2 linked regions of the Caenorhabditis elegans genome follow. The protein of the gene in region 2 interacts with the protein of the main gene of each other region in a pairwise test. Each region holds a gene or a part of one and is shown on either strand. Other genes may lie near its edges.

What was found.
Region 1: the proteins of W09C3.4 (region 2) and rimb-1 interact in a two-hybrid assay, tested with the Caenorhabditis elegans proteins (one large-scale study listed by BioGRID).

Annotation. Positions count from the first base shown.
Region 1 is NC_003281.10:1,784,114-1,792,804, forward strand, and holds the start of rimb-1 (Variant SH3 domain protein), read left to right. Parts: upstream 1-4,219; 5' UTR 4,220-4,292; intron 4,293-4,923; 5' UTR 4,924-4,970; coding exon 4,971-5,341; intron 5,342-6,675; coding exon 6,676-6,805; intron 6,806-6,976; coding exon 6,977-7,049; intron 7,050-8,605; coding exon 8,606-8,691.
Region 2 is NC_003279.8:4,701,372-4,708,953, forward strand, and holds W09C3.4 (putative DNA-directed RNA polymerase III subunit RPC6), read left to right. Parts: upstream 1-3,232; 5' UTR 3,233-3,250; coding exon 3,251-3,511; intron 3,512-3,563; coding exon 3,564-3,926; intron 3,927-4,075; coding exon 4,076-4,342; 3' UTR 4,343-4,514; downstream 4,515-7,582. Other genes in the region: W09C3.3 (Methyltransferase FkbM domain-containing protein), read left to right, coding at 5,393-5,470, 6,232-6,471, 6,534-6,605, 6,727-6,877, 6,926-6,996, 7,040-7,156, 7,227-7,391. UniProt on the Caenorhabditis elegans protein: DNA-dependent RNA polymerase catalyzes the transcription of DNA into RNA using the four ribonucleoside triphosphates as substrates. Specific peripheric component of RNA polymerase III which synthesizes small RNAs, such as 5S rRNA and tRNAs.

The sequences.
Region 1 (8,691 bases), on a different chromosome or scaffold from region 2:
CAACTTCTGTATTAAAATACATTAAAACATGTATTTTAACACAGTTGTGACGTCATAAATGTATTTTAATACATTTTGCAACATTACTTGAATAACCCCAATAAAAATCAACTTAAGGATCAGAAATTTTTTTTGGTTTTTTTTGGTCTTTCAAAAATTTCAATTTTTGTTTTTTGGTTTTTGGTCCAAAATTTTTTTTTGGTCCCAGCCCTGATTGTGACCTACATTCTTCCCGCTTACTCCCCCTTCCTGTGTAAGCGGTGACCTGTGTAGGAGGTGATTGTAAATGAGAGCCAATGCCTAGTCACTGTAATAATCACAAAATTTTGACACCAACCAATATCAGGCCGCCGACATTTCACGGCGCACCGCTATGTTTAACTCGCAGCAGGCGGAAACAGCTCACCACCACGCCCACAGCGAGTTAAACGCAGCAGCGCGCGGAACCCGTGAGACGTCGGCGGCCTGATATTGGTTGGGGTCAAAATTTTTGCCTTTTCTCTGTGAATGGACGAGAAAAAGGCGGGGCCTAAATAATTTTAGGTTTTCTGCAGTACACGCCACGCAGTTTTTTTTTTATTTTGCGTGTATAAACCAAAAAAAAACCAGAAAATTTTTCGTTCGCCAATTTGCCGAATTTGCCGGAAATTTTAAATTCCGGCAATTTGCAGATTTGCCGAGTTTGCCAAAAAATAAATTTTGTTGAAATTCTCAATCCCTACAATTTGCCGATTTGCCTGAATTTCAATTCCGGCAATTTGCCGATTTGACGGAAAGGTTTATTTTCGGCTTTTGTAAATTTTTTGGCTTATTGTAAAGCCTTTTAGAAGGCAAGTTTCGATGAGTTCAAGCCTAAAAGTAAGTCGTCAAATTTAGACCCGTAAGATGTCGGTCGTTATAACTTTTTTCAGAGTTGAGCTATGAAAATGTGATCAACTTTTGAGATTTGAAGCTCGGATTTTCGGAAAAAAATAAATTTTTTTATTTTGAGTGTACCATGAAAGAGGGGTACCTCCCTCTCTTCCTGTGTAAGAGGTGATTGTAAATGAGAGCCATTCTAGTCCCCTTGTCAATGTAACCTATTACCCCTATACCAGGGGTGTGCGGCAAATTTGCCAAATTTGCCGAGCACGGCAAATTTCAAAAAAGTAGATTTGCCGAATTTGCCGAGCTCGGCAAATTTCGAAATTTGCCGCACACGTCAAAAATTTTACAGTACAATTTTGACTAAAATTATTGATTTTTTCGCCAAAAATTTAGTAAAATGACACAAAATTGAGCTATTTTGATGCTTAAACATACATACTACACGGAACTAATTCAGAAACCAGATATGTGTTAAGAATTTGGTAGTTTTGGTGTTCCAAAAACATCAAAAATTATCAAAATTTTCCGAGTTTGTTAAGCACGGCAAATTTGCCGAATTTACCGAGCTCGGCAAATTTGCCGAATTTGCCGTGCTCGGCAAATATTGAAAAAAGAGATTTGCCGAATTTGCCGAGCTCGGCAAATTTTGAGATTTGCCGCACACCCCTGCCCTATACCCTATACCCTGAGAAAGAGGGACTCTTCATGATCCATAGGTATGCCTGTCATTCTCTATTTTTAAACGTTCCTGCAGCAGTAGCACAACAGAGCCAGCAGTTTTCCTCTTCTTCTCCATCTTCTTCTGCTTCTTCCTCTCTTCCCAAAAAAAAAAAAAAAAAAAAAGTGAGGGGGCTCACTGCCCCCCCCCCCCTCCCCCCCCCCTCTTCTCCTTGAAGCTCATCCAGACGTCGCTGTCCTCCTCCTCCTCGTCCCCGGGGCGCTGTGTGTGTGTGTGTGTGCTCCGTGAGCATGTAGCAGCTTCAGCCCATTTAAAGGCGCACACTCTCTGCATCTCTGCGTGTCTCGACACTCGTTTTTTCTCTTCTTTTCTGCTGCACACACACACACACACACACACACGCTCATGCCAGAGCACTTCTTGCTCCGGGGGGCTCCGCGCGGAGCCCGAGAGGACCTCCTCCTCCTTTTTCTTCTTCGCTTTTTAGTTCTTCTTGCCTCGGTCTCGCCCCTTGTTTTGCTCTCCATGTAGTATATACATCTGGGTGTGTGTGTGTGTGTGCACCTTTGGAGCATTTTTTGAACTTTTCCAGAACTTTGGAGCAACATTTTCAGCTTGTTCAGTGCACTTTTTAGGCTGAAAATCCTATTTTTAGGTTTTCGAAAGTTTTTTTGGAGCATTTTTCGTGCAATTTAGGTGCAAAATTAAAAAAAAGGGTTTTGTAGTGAATTAAAATTTTTTTGAAACTTTCGCCTTTTTAAAAAAATGTTTCTAATATCTTTAAAAATTGGAATATTTTGGAAAACAATTTGTTTTCAATTGGCAATTTATTAATTCTGAGCTTCTGAGCGTAAATTTTTTTTTATTTTGGAGCAATTCTGAGATGTCTTAGTGCATTTTTCGGGCATACATAAAAAAAAATTTATCTTAATAATAAAAACCTTAAATTTAGGCTTCACCGTCTGGAAATTCAATTTTTTCAGCTGAAAAACTTTCAAAAAAAAAAAAATTAAATTTTCACATTTATTTTCTCTGGAATTTTGGAGCAATTTCAAAGCTGTCTTAGTGCATTTTTAGTACACAAATATTTTTTCATTTTTCTTAAATTTTAATAATCTAAGCTTAAATAAAGGCTTCACCGTCTGAAAATGCAACTTTTTTCAGATGAAATATTAAAAAAAAAAACCTCTTTTATTAATTTTGTGCTCCAAACTTTCCCACGGTACGCAAATCATGTAATATGTACTTTTAAACATTATTTTTCCAATCAAAAATATCCAACAGCTTTTCCTTACAATTTGAAAATTTTTATTAAAATTTCAAAAAAATTTTTTTTTTTTTTTAATTTCGAATTTTTTTAAACTTGTTGTAACTTTTTTCCCTGTCGGCGCCAATTAACAAAATACGTAGAATTTTGCGCTTATTGTTTTGTTAGTTAACAAATTTTTGACAACTTTCTTATCAGCTGAGATTTAGGTGTTTCAGTTCGCAATCTGCGTCTCTCCTTGCTCTCCTCTATTTTAAAACCCCCATAACTTTGTTCTTGTGAGAGTTATCAAAAAATTGTCAACTAACAAAATATAGAGCACAAAAATATGCACATTTTGTATGTTGACAATTTTTTGATACCTTTTTTAGTTTTCGAGATATCTTAGTTTTAGTTTAGCTGTACCTTTTTCTGGCAAAAAACTTCCAAATTTCGGCAATTTTTCGGCAAATTTCCCGGCAAATTTCGCCAAGTACATCGGGCTCTCAGACAAGTGGTCTGTGAGTGGAAGTCGATAAAAGTAGTTTACGTGCTCTCCGTCCCCCCGCTTCTTCTCCGTCTCTGCTTCTATTTCTCCATTGACTAGTCCCACTACTTTTTACGGGGCGGAGGGCTCTCTTGCACTCCAGCTTCTTCTCTTTTTGTGCTCTTTTTTGCCCGTATGTGGGTGCTCATTTATTTTTCTTTGGTTTTAAAATAAATTCGGTTTATTAGGCTACTCGTAAAAATGAAGAAAAAACTTCAAATTCAAACGACATTAAAAAAAAATTTAATAAAAATTTTTTGAATTGCTCAAAAGCCCCACCTATATATATATATAGCTCCGCCTACTTCTCGCACAGACCCCGCCCACTTTTTGACTCCGCCCCCTTATTGGCAAAAGTTCTTGAAAAAAATAAAAATAAAAATTCAAATTGAAACAATTTTTTTTTAATGAAGTAGTTTTTTTCTAAATTGATGAAAATTTCTAAACAGTTTACAAGCACCGCCCACTTTTTGACTCCGCCCCTTTGTTGGAAAAATTCTTGTAAAAAAAAATAAAAAATAAAAGCTTCTCTTTCAAACGATTTTTAGTTGGTTTTTGTATGAAAAGTTTTTTTCCTAAAATAGAAATGTCTGAATAATTTGCAAGCTCCGCCCTTTTCTTACCCAGACTCCGCCCCTTTATTGACTAATTTTTTTTTGTCCATTTACCTGAAGTTCAAAAAAAAAATTTACAGTTTCATAGAGTAATAATTTTTCAAAAATCTCTTTTTCCAATGTTTAATGTGTCATTATAAACCCGCCCAGTTTTAAGCTCCGCCCATTTAGGCCCCGCCCATTTATGACCCAAATATTTTTTTCTCTATTCACCCGTGGATTTCCCTCCAACAAGTTACCCCAAAAATAAAAATAAAAATTCCTGCAGGCGCCCACCGGGATCTAACATCGTGGCCTCTTCCAACAACAACCATCAATCGTCTACACCATCATTCGGCGGTAGGTTGGACCGTTTTTCTTGTTGTCGACAATTATGCTGTGTCAGGACTAGAAAATCTGAATTCAGCACGCTGAGAGCTTCAAAATAAGCCCCATATTGCCTAGGTTCTAATAAATATGAAAAAATTTGGTCTCGCCACGAAAACTTGTAGGGTTTGGTAGTCTTGGTGAATTTGGGTTAGTCTTATTTTTCCTAGTTTTTTTTGATAATTTTGACACAATCTGAGCTAAAAATTGAGAAAAAATCTTAAAAAATAATAAAAATATGGATTTTCGAAGATTTTCGAAGATTTTCGAAAATCGATAACTTTGCGAATTTTAATTTTTTCTACCTGAATTTAGTTTCGAAAATTTTGTAATTCTTTGAAAAGCTTTAGAAAAATATATTTAACATTCTACACAGTACCCCGGGACTTTTCGTGGCGGGACCCAAATTTTTAAAATAGTCGGGGCCTAGCCAAGATGGGTGTTAAATGAAAGGTCTCGAAGGGCTAAATTCAAATTTTTAGGTTACAAAGCTTTAAATTGAGTTTTTAATTTTTTTTGAAATTAAAAAAAAAAAAAATCCAAAAAAAAAATCCAAAAAAAAATCCAAAAAAAAAATTTCAAAAATTTAAATTATTAATTTCAGGTTCGTGGGGTCCCTACAACAAGGCGGACCACCTAGTCACCAACTGAATGCTGGGCGGTCTGTCGGGACCCGGTCCGCCGCCCCCACCACCCCCCGCATCCTCCTATGGCATGGTGCCAGGCCCGTCGACCTCGTTCACCAACCATCTGGGTCCCACGACGTCATCCGCGTCTACAGTACCACCGACGAGTGACGCGTTGCTCCTGCAACTCCGTTCGAGACCCAATTCTCGCGTTTTTCGCGCCCTTTTTCAATATCTACCGTTAAGGGATTCGCCGAACGAGAATCCACAGCTCGAGCTGAGCCTTCAGCCGGGAGATGTGGTTCTGGTGAAAGGGGAAATGGATTCGGATGGATTTTATTGTGGGGAAACGCTGGATGGACGTCAGGGACTGGTACCATCAAATTATGTAGAGAGGTGAGCATTTTGAAGCTTAAAAATTGAGCTTTTTATACTTTTTTGGGCGAAATCTCACTTTTTCCCGTGAAAAAAGATTTAAAATTCGGAGTCTGAGATTGAAAATACAAAATTCGAATTCTCTGTGTTCAGAGCTTTCAAATGACCCCCATATTGGCTATATTCCGCCAACTTTGAAATTTCCGGGTCCCACCACGGAGGGGTACTGTAGTTTTCGTGGCGGGATCCGAAAATTTTCAAAAATGACGGAACCTAGCCGATATGGGGGTCATTTTAAAGGTCTCAACGAGACGAGTTCATTGGAGCAGGTTTTATGTGAAAATTCGATCATTTTTGAGGAAAAAAAATTTTTTTTGTTCAAAAAAGTTTTTTTTTTTTAATTTTTGTTTTAACCATGTTTTCTGTAAATAATCAGAATGAGCATAATCTCAGCTTCAAAATAGTAATCCGCCATACTTTGAAAATTCGGGTCTCACCACGAAAACTCCACCGGCTACTGTAGTTTAGACGGAAAGTTTGCAGTTTTATATTTCTAATAAATTTTTGAAAACTTTTCATATACCCTGTAAAAAATTTGTGCTGAGTAGCATAAAAATTGACAAAGTTACGGATTTTCGAAAAGATTCAAAAAAATCAAAATTTTTAATTTTGTAAAATATTTAAAAATTCTGTAACACGAAAAAAAGTTTGATTTTTTCTATTTTACCATTATTTTCGAATTTTTCACGCTATTCGCTTTAATTTGACAGCCAACATTCCCAGGCTCCGCCAATTTTGAAAATTTTCGTGGTGGGACTCAACAATTCAAAAAATTTCAATTTTACCAAGAACCTAGGCATGATGGGGGTCAAATGAAAGGTCTCAAAAAACTAAATTTGAATTTTGTATTAGTTTAACTTTTTTGTCAGCATCCTCAGGGTTACGGTAGATTTTGAACTTTCCATTGGAAAATTTTTTCGGAAAAGTTTCGAAAATCCATAACTTTTCTCATTTTTGAGATTTTAACTTGAATTAAAATGTATAACAATTGTGAGTATTTGAAAAATATGGCAAAAATAATATAATTCTGAAAAACTCGAAAACTACAGTTCCCTGGGGCTTTTCGTGGCGGGACCCAAATTTTAAAATTAAAAGGATATAGGCATGTGTTGGGGTCATTTTGAAGCTCCCAACGCGGTGAATTTCTAATAAAACGAAAAAAATTTATATTTTGAATAAGGAAAATGAAAATAATTTTAAGAATAATTTTCAAAAAAAAAAAAAATTTAAAAAACTTTTTTTTCTAAATTTTTTTATTTCTCCAAAATTTAGAAAATAAAACCAAATCTTTTCAGAGTTCCGGATTCAGTGCTCCTGGCAAATGCACGGGCTCCATCACCATCATTCCCGCTTCGAATACCCCAACATTTCTCGACAATCACACACGACTTCTCCTCTCCGGATCACTCAACACTACCCGATTCTGTAAGTTTTTGAGGAATTTTTAAAGAAAATTTGGCTAAAAATTCTTTCAAATTCAGTTTTGAAAAGCAATTTTGAAATAAAAAAAATTTAAAAAATTTTCTGGAATTTTTTTTTTTTTGAAATTTTTTTAAATTAATTTTTTCAAAAATATATAATTTTCAAATTTTTCAGGTTTGCCCTTACCCACCAGCTGACGTCACAAAAGTTACTGTACAAGAGATCAAGAACAACGAAACGCCTAGGAGTGAGTTGAAAATTTTAAAACATTCTCGAAAAAAAATTTTTTTTTTTCGAAATTTTCAAATATCGAGCCGCTACTCAGCCAATTTTCGAGATAAGCTCTTGAAAACTAATAATTCAATTTTTTCTTGCCAGTAGCTTCAATTTAACACCCATATCGGCTAGGCTCCGATGAAAAGCCCAGTTTTCGAAATTTTTTCCGGGTCGCGCCACGAAAACTCTGGGGGTACTGTAGGTGATAGATGTCTTTGACTTTTTGTATTTTTGCAAAGTAACCAAACTTAAAACACATGTTTTAGGCTAAAAATCAGCTGAAAATCTCAGATATTGATAAAGTTACAGATTTTCGAAAAATTCCAAAATTTTTAGAATTATTGTGTTGATTTTTTGAAAAATCTACATTTCGTAAACTTTCATGGAAGATATATTTGGCTAAAATTATTGAATTTGGTACAGTCGTTGTCTCTTTTAGGCTCCGCCTACTTTTGATGGGTCTCGCCGCGAAAAGTTTCGAAAATCCGTAACTTTTTCAATTTTCAAGATTCTAGCACAATTTTTTTTTCAAAACGTATGAAAACGTGTTGAAAATTCGTTTAAAATTAAACTTGAGCACGGTATTTGGATCTACAGTAACCCAACGGGTTTTCGTGGTGGGACCCAGAAATTTTCCCAATTTTTAAAACAGGCGGATTATAGCCAATATGGGGCTCATTTCGAAGCTGAAAATGTAGAAAAAACGAATTTCTGAAGTAAATTTTAAAATTTATTGGAAGTAAGAAATTTTAGTGAAAAAATAAAAAAATAAATATAAAATTTCCCAGATTTATAATTTATTTCTTTAATATCTGCACTGAATCTATAAAATTTATAAAAGAATAAAGCCTCAAAACTTTTTGAATAATTCATTTTCCGTGGGGGCCCCATATCCAAAAATGGGCAAAAAACGGAGACGCAGAGCACCAGCACTAATTCCATTTGGAAAGGGGGCTCACAAAGTGTGTGTGTGTGTGTGCTCCGTGAGCAGTAGTAGGCAGCACACAGCTAATCTGAACTGACAGATGACCCGTGGAGAGAAAAAAGGAAAAAAATGGGGAGGGGGAGGAAGCTTCTTTTATATTGAAAAGAGCCGGCGGCGAGCGGAGCTCCTTGATATTTTTGGGTGTTTGAGGGACTGAAAGATGAAACCAGAAATTTGCTAAAAAATTATTTTTACAGATTTTGAAAATGTTAAATTTCAAGAAAGTTATGGGAGTTTAAGTTTAGCTAAAAAAAAAAAAAAATTTTTTTCAATTTTTCAAAATTTTTTTTTCAAAGTTCATCTCAAAACGTGTGTTTAATCACGATTTTGAATATATAAAATTATTTTATCAATACAATACAGGTTAGAAAACCAGAAAATATTGATTTTGAGCAAAGTTATAAAGTTTTGAAATAATTGAAACAAAATTTGAAAAAACAAATTTTTTTCAGATTTTTTTAAAACTTCAATAATTAACAACTTGGAGGTTTCGGAGTCAAATTTTTTGAATTTTGAATTAGAAAAATCAATATTTCTTACAGTACCATGCCCTCGAGAATTAATAGTGGAAAAGAAGTTATCACGTAGCGCCCTAGTTTCATGGAGTTCGCCGGAAGAGTCCTTTGTC
Region 2 (7,582 bases):
AGAGAGAGAGCGTGCTGCTGCTGCTGATGCTTGCCTTGCGCAGACCTCTTTTTCTGTGTGAGCGGTGGAGTGTGCGCAAAGAAGGAACTCATAAAACACTCACACGTTGTTCCCCCCGTTTGGTCCTCCCAATTCAACCACCCAGAGGTGCGCCCCCAGACGTTTTGGTTATGAGCGGCCAAAGGTGTGTATGTGTGTGTGTTTGAGAGTGAGCGCAGTGTGAGCGTCGTCTGTGTGTGTTCTGTTTAAATGAGAAAAAGAGCGGTTTTTGCTTTTCACCGCCGATTGGTACCCCCCTAAATGAATGATAGTGACATAGTGAGAAAGAGAGAGAGCATCATCACTGATAAGAAATGATAAGACAATTCCACTTTCTGACCATTAGTTCATCGTTATTGTCTAAGTGTAAAGTTTCGATTGAATTTTGACAATTTATGGTCTAAATAAGAAATAGTATTTTCTTTCTTGAAGAGTAAAAATATTACGCAACCGTAAAGTGTAGAAAGTTGAAGAGACCCAGACATATTGAAACCCAGGGGGCGTGGCGCGGGAAGAGCAGAAGTTGTGTAGATTTACGGAGCGTTATTGACGTAGATCTACATAAGTTCGACTCTTCCCTCTGGGTCCCGATATGTCTGCGTCTCTTCAACTTTTTACGCTCTGCTGCTGAGTAATAGTAAAGTCCTACCCACATGCTAAAAATTTTCAGAAGCTGCTGAATATTCTGGTGAACATTTCAGATTTAAAGATTTTTTTTAAAACTAGAGCTAAAAAAATTTTAGAGACGCGAAACCCAATTATATCTAAGTGACTGAATCTAGAAATCTTCTCTGGAAAGAAAGAAAATATTATAAATCTAGATCACAAATTTACAGATTTATCTGTTGATTTACAAACGTGCCTTTCAGAACTGATCTTACTGAAATTAATTTTCTCATTAAAAAATTTTAGTTTATAATTTGAAATTGTTATGTTGCTCCCTTGACACTTATCAACTGATTTTTCCAAAAAAACTATATATTAAAAAAATTAAAATCCTTCAGGCATGTCATCAAATCTCCTTTCGTAAATAACAAGGCTTCATTTCATTCTTCCTCCTGATACTATGGCTTTCGAAATGAAAATGCAAAACTGCCAGGTGCTCATAGCTCATTAAACGGATACACAGAATCACGAGCAAATTGGCTAGGATTAAAAATGGCAAAAGTCGAAACATCGTGCCCGGATTAGTGCATTCTGGAGGGGGAAAACAAAGTATTTAATTCACCTTTTCGAAATCAAAAGTGTGATGGTGAATGATCGGATTAGAGAGCTCCAACGAATCTCGTGAGGAAATTAATCTATGCTAAGCAACTGGAAATGTTATATCTACAAAATGGCTATTAATGTTTTCAGATGTTTTCAGCTTTCAGCCCACTCGTATAGTTAGGCCTTATTTTCAGATATTTTTCACCTATTTGCAGCTGCTATCAAGAATAAATCTCAGGGTTTTAGTTAGAAAACATGTTGATTCCAACTTGATGGAAATTATGGTGAAATTGCCAAGAATCGTCGGCAAATTGTGATTTTGCATATATCTGTTTTTTTTTGGAAATTTTAGAATTTCAAAAAATAAAAAATTACATAAAGGCACAAGTTTAAGTGTTTTCGTCTTATAGAAAAACTCCTCTAAACATTTCCGGCAAATCTGATATTCGGTAAATCGGCAAATGTACAATTTGCCGATTTGCCGAATTTGTCCTTTTTTTTTCTCGAGATGTATGAAATATGGGAGTGAGAAGAGAATTGCAAAATAGGAAGACACGAGATTCAAAATGAGGGAGTATGAGCCAAACAAGACGGAGAAAAGGCATAAGAGGAGCTCTGTGTTGAGGGATATATAATTTGTTGGAGGAGAATGACACGGAGAACACATTGCGAATATGGGATCAAACTAGAGACGCAGAGCACTGAGCAGATATCTCACAAACACCCGGTGTGTGGCAGATGGTGAGCCATTTTGGTCACTCTCTTTCCCTCTTGTTGTTCGCCTCCCTGAAAGGCAACTGCTAGCAGGCTCTGGCTACTCCTACTGACTGCTTCTTCATTGAATGCTCCTCTTTTCCATTGATGACGATTGAATATGCGAGAGACAGCCGGGGTCTCTAATACTAGGAGCCGAGTAGCATGAAATTGTTGTTGTGAAACTTATTAGAAAATGGATAAGTGTGGGGGATTTGTTGAGAATATTTTTAGCGAAAGCGAGAAATTTTAAGCTTTTGTCAGTACAACTGCGAAGTTATTTACCTCAATATGCAATATTACGGTAACACAAACCTCTTAGAATGCGTATTGTGCAACATAGTTGACGCGCAGAATATCTCGTAGCGAAAACTACAGTAATTCTTTAAAGGACTACTGTAGCTCTTTTGTCGAATTACGGGCACTATTTTCGAAATGAATTAATTTTCCAAAAGTGACAGCGATACTCATTTTCCGTCGTTTTTTTCGTATGATTCTTATCCATAAATAAATGATTTTAATTAATTTCGAAAATCGAGCCTGTAAATCAACATAAGCGCTACAGTAGTCATTTAAAGAATTACTGTAGTTTTCGCTACGAGATATTCTGCGCGTCAAATATGTTGCGCACTGGGCATTCATTTTGTGTTTTCGTAATAAAAGAAACGTTATGATATGTTTAACAAAATTTTGGATTTCATTTTTTTGATTAAAACTAACAATTCTCCAGTAATCTGAAAAATTGTCCTTTCCAAGCCAAAATAATATTTTAAATATATAACTCTTCTCATTTTCACTGATTATAATGATCAATGCATTAAAATACAGCTGCTAAAAAGCCAAACACCTTGTTTCCTTCAGATTTTCGAAAAATGGCATGTAACTCGAATGCGGCTGCCAAACCGACCACGAACAACAAAAATTCTCAAAATTTATAATTTTTATGTATATAAGCTTTTAGAAAAACATTTTTTCTATCCATTTATCTATTTTTATTATTTTATAATCTTCAGTATTAATGCTTTTAGCCACAGTCTTCATTTTCATCTCATTTTGCCATCGCCCCGCCCCGTGTGGCGACCGCGCTCTATTGCGAATCATTTTTCTCTCGCAATTTGCAGTTATTATTTCTCCCTTCAGTTTCACTATTTTCTCACAAAAATTCACCGAATAAAATGTTTTCTCTCAATAATTTTATGTTTTTTCTTATTTTTCTAATGCATATTTTAATTTTCAGCGGATAAAAATCATGGCTTCCATCAAAGAAGAACTTATAAGCGCGGCGGAAAGCGAATCGCAAGTGATGCAGATCGTTCAAGCGGCTCTCGAAGGAATTGATATGGATGCATTGACAAGTATGACACCTGGATTGCCACAAACTGTTCGTCAGACTGCGATCAATAGCCTTTTGAGCTCAAAGAAATTGGCTATTCAACAAGCGCCTGGCGGTGTGCTCCGGTTGAAAGTTAACACAAGTGAACAGATTGCGGGAACAGAAGAGGAGCAAGTGGTGAGTATTTCTTGCATCCGGAAGAAAGAAAAACTGACATTTTTCATTACAGATTTACAGTCTTATCGAAGAATCGAAGACGCGTGGAATATGGATAAAAGAACTTCGAGAAGGTTCAGGACTCAACCAGCTTCAACTTCGAAAAACATTGAAAAGTCTGGAAACGAAAAAGTTGATCAAGACTATCAAAGCTGTTGGAACTACGAGGAAGTGCTATATTTTGTTTAGTATTGAACCAGATATGTCATTGACTGGTGGAACATTCTATTCTGATCAACAACTCGATTCGGAACTCATCAATACATTGATCAGTGTTTGTGGTTCATATGCTGCCAGCAGACGAAAGCATGCGATTGATGAAAATCCGAATAATATTCAAATGCAAAGAGAAGCCAGCTATATTCGTCCTCAAGAGGTTTGATTTTTATTGATAGCTCTAAAAAAATTTTTTTTTAAACTCTAAATTGAAAATGTGAATTTTTTTAACCGGAAAATAAATTAAATTGATGTTTTTCAATTTTTTTAGCAAAAAATATGCGTAATCAATTTTAAAAAAATTTCCAGATAGCCCAATTCATCACCGAAAAACGAGTATTGAATGTTCCACTATCATTGGAAGATTTAGAAAGAATTCTCGAAGTCGCTGTGTTGGATGGAACAATTGAACGAAGAGCTGATGGAAAGATCCGTGCATGTCCACCACGTTCCAGTATTTCTCCATTAGTGTCGGTTCCGTGTGCTATTTGTCCAGTTGTCGAGGATTGTCGACCAGGATATGTGATCTCTCCTCAATCATGTGATTATATGAAAAATTGGCTGGCCGATCTGTAACTGCAGTACTCTCTAGTTAATTGTTTTGAGAACTCAGATCTTCAAAACCCGTATTTTTATTGTCCATTTTTGTTAATTTATTGATGCCTTTTTGTTGTTGATTCTCCTCTTTTTTTCTTAATTGTTAAATATTTGTTCTGAATAAAAAAATCTCATAAAAAGAGATACAAATGCTGGTTCTATTTCAGAAAGAATGGTAGGAAGTGACTAATCTTAATGTCAAACCATAATGATCGACCCTTGACGCGGAGCAGTTTTGCAAGTATGCGGCGCGGTTTTATGCATGTCATTTTTTTCTGGTTTTACAGGTTTCAATTTAAAAACCGGACTAGCCCGTAAATCGACAATAGCGCTACAGTAGTCATTTAAAGAATTACTGTAGTTTTCGCTACGAGATATTTTGCGTGTCAAACATGTTGCGCAATACGCATTCTCAGTATTGTAGGGTCCCGTAATATTAATTTTAAAAATGTTTTCTTTTTTTTTTTTAATTTTTTCCGAAATATTTTTAAAATATTACTTTTAAAAATATTTTTTTTGTCGTTTTGAAAAATAGGTACAAAACAGGAATTTTGCCCAAAAAATGAGTAAAACCGAGCGAAAAAAAATACTCACACATGTATGTCCATGTCTAGTACAAAACTCTTCGTAAATCGACATGCAAAAAACCGCGCCGCAGGCTTGCAAAACCACGCTCCGCTCCTTTTTAATTCAATAATTGCGAAATTTGAGATTGATTCTTTCGGCAATACTTTAATATTCAAATTTTTGTGGAAAAAAACCCTGATAAGGGCGGAGCATGTCTCTTTTTTCCGTTTGCCGACAAAATTTGAATTGATTATTGAGTGCTCATTTCCCTATTCAACATCCAAAACCACGTAGTTAATATACATTTGTTCAATCCAAAAGAGCTCTCACTCTCTTTCTCTCCCTCCTACATTATATTGCTTTCCATATTTGTTCGGATTCTCTGTATTTGTTTTCATATTTTCATTCTCTGATTTAATAACCGACACCCATTACAAAAAGCGTACTTTATGATTTTTTGAGATGAATATGGTCTTTAAATATATTTTTTTAATTACATGTTGTTTTGCTATTATTGTCCTATTGCATAAGACCGATAAAGTGAGTTTTACAGTTCTTGGGTCAGATTTTAACTTTGAAAAAAAAAACACAATGCGAGGTTAGGAATACGGTACCGGGTCTCGAAACAACCTAAAGTTTTGAAATGAACGCTTTGAAAAAGTGTATGCGCCTTTAAGATGTACAGCAGTCACGCAATCTTTGATTATTTTTAAACTCTTAATGATTAACTTTATATTTTTTGGGAAGTGTGGAGATACTGTATGAGTACTGTAGAGGTACTTCAGGAGTACTGTAGGATTACTGTAAATTAAGAAAATCCGAGTTTCTTTAAAGTTGAAACAAGTCCCCGAAAAAAAATTTTCAAAAAAGTTCATTTTAAGTCAGATATTAATTTTTGAAATCATGAAAATTAAATAAATATCCCAATAAAAAAATGCGATCATTTATATGCCTGGAGGTCAGTTTTTTTTTATTAAACTGGAAGCTTCTGGCACCTAGAAAAATGTTATAATTAAATTCTGGAAGCGCTTAAAATTTGAAACAAGTCCCCGAAAAAACATTTAAAAAAAGATAATTTTAAGTCAGATATTAATTTTTAAATTTATGCAAATTCAGTAAATCTCCCTATAAAAAAATGCGGTCATTTATATGTCTGAAGGCCAGTTTTTTTGATTGAACTGGAAGCTTCTGGCACCTAGAAAAATTTAGATATTAAATTCTGAAAACGCTTGAAATTTGAAAGAAGTCCCCGAAAAAACATTTTCAAAAAAAGTTCATTTCAAGTCAGATTTTTCTTTCAGATCACTCGAAACGGCAAAACTCTAATCCAGCTGAATTCTTTTAAACCAAAGTTTTTCGAAGAATGGAATTCGTGCGTTGCTCAAAAATTTCTGGACATAACTACGAACGCAGAAGACTTTTGGAACAGTTTCAAGGGAAAATCTCGAACTTGTGATTTTGATACAAATGTCCATCAATCTCTACGAGCTATTCCACTGAAAAATTCCGATGAGGTTAAATATGCAATATTGCCAGTTCGTGTGAGTTTTTGAATTTTTGAATTAACGATTTCCACTTTTTTACGAATTGAAATTTGTTTTAGAACACTCTGAAAGATGTGTTTATAACACTTGGGATTGGACAGGATATAAGTGCTGAGGTGGCGTTTCAGAAGGTAAGAACAAGCGCGGCAAATATTAATACATCATATTTAACTAGCAATTGTAAGAAAAATTGACGAAAATTTACTTTTGTTGGTAGCTTTTTACAGTGTTAAAAACATATTTTTAATTCAGGAAATGCACAACATTGGACACAATGTTACTTTCTATGGAGCTGACCCAATTGTGGAAGGAAATTCAGTTTTATATTCAAAAATTGGAAAATATTTCCCATTTGCTGTTGGTGAGAAAGCTGGATTTTCAATGGCTAGTGTACTTTCGAAAGGTGGGAAAACTTACGAAGTTTTAATTTTAATTTTTTTTGAATTTCCAGGAGAATACATTAGTATGCCAGTAGTTCATGTAGATTTATATTACTTTTTGAAAGAAGTTCTTGGTGAAAAAGTAAGAAATATCTTGAATTTTAAAACGAAAAGACTTTTTAAAGGTTATTGATTATTTATGGATGGATTCTGAATACTCTGAATATGGGACTTTCGATATTTTCTATAAAAATGGAAAATTAGAACAATTAGGAATTACTTTTTGTCAAATGAGTTTGGAAGTGAGTTACTTCAGTTTAAATTTACATTTGAAACTTCCATTAATCTATAGTGAGAATATTCATATTCCAGGTTCACAACCCAAGCAAAGAACAAAAAGAACAGTTCATGACATTTATTAAACGATTGGTTGAAGAAAAATCGTTTGGATTCTTCTTCAGTGACAATGTTGGACACATGAGAATGTGGCTTTTCAATTTTGAAAGCGAATATTGTGTTCGAAAATTTTTTAATTGATTTATTTTCTATTTTTGCTGAGCGACACATTACGGGAATTTTTTTTTTTCAAAAAACAGCTTCACAAATGAGGAAAATATTAATGTTATTAATTAATTTTAATTGAATAAAAATTTGTTTCTATTTTTTTGAATTCTAAAATTTTTTAAAACATGTGCAAAATGTGCATTTTTGATAACCTCCATCCAACA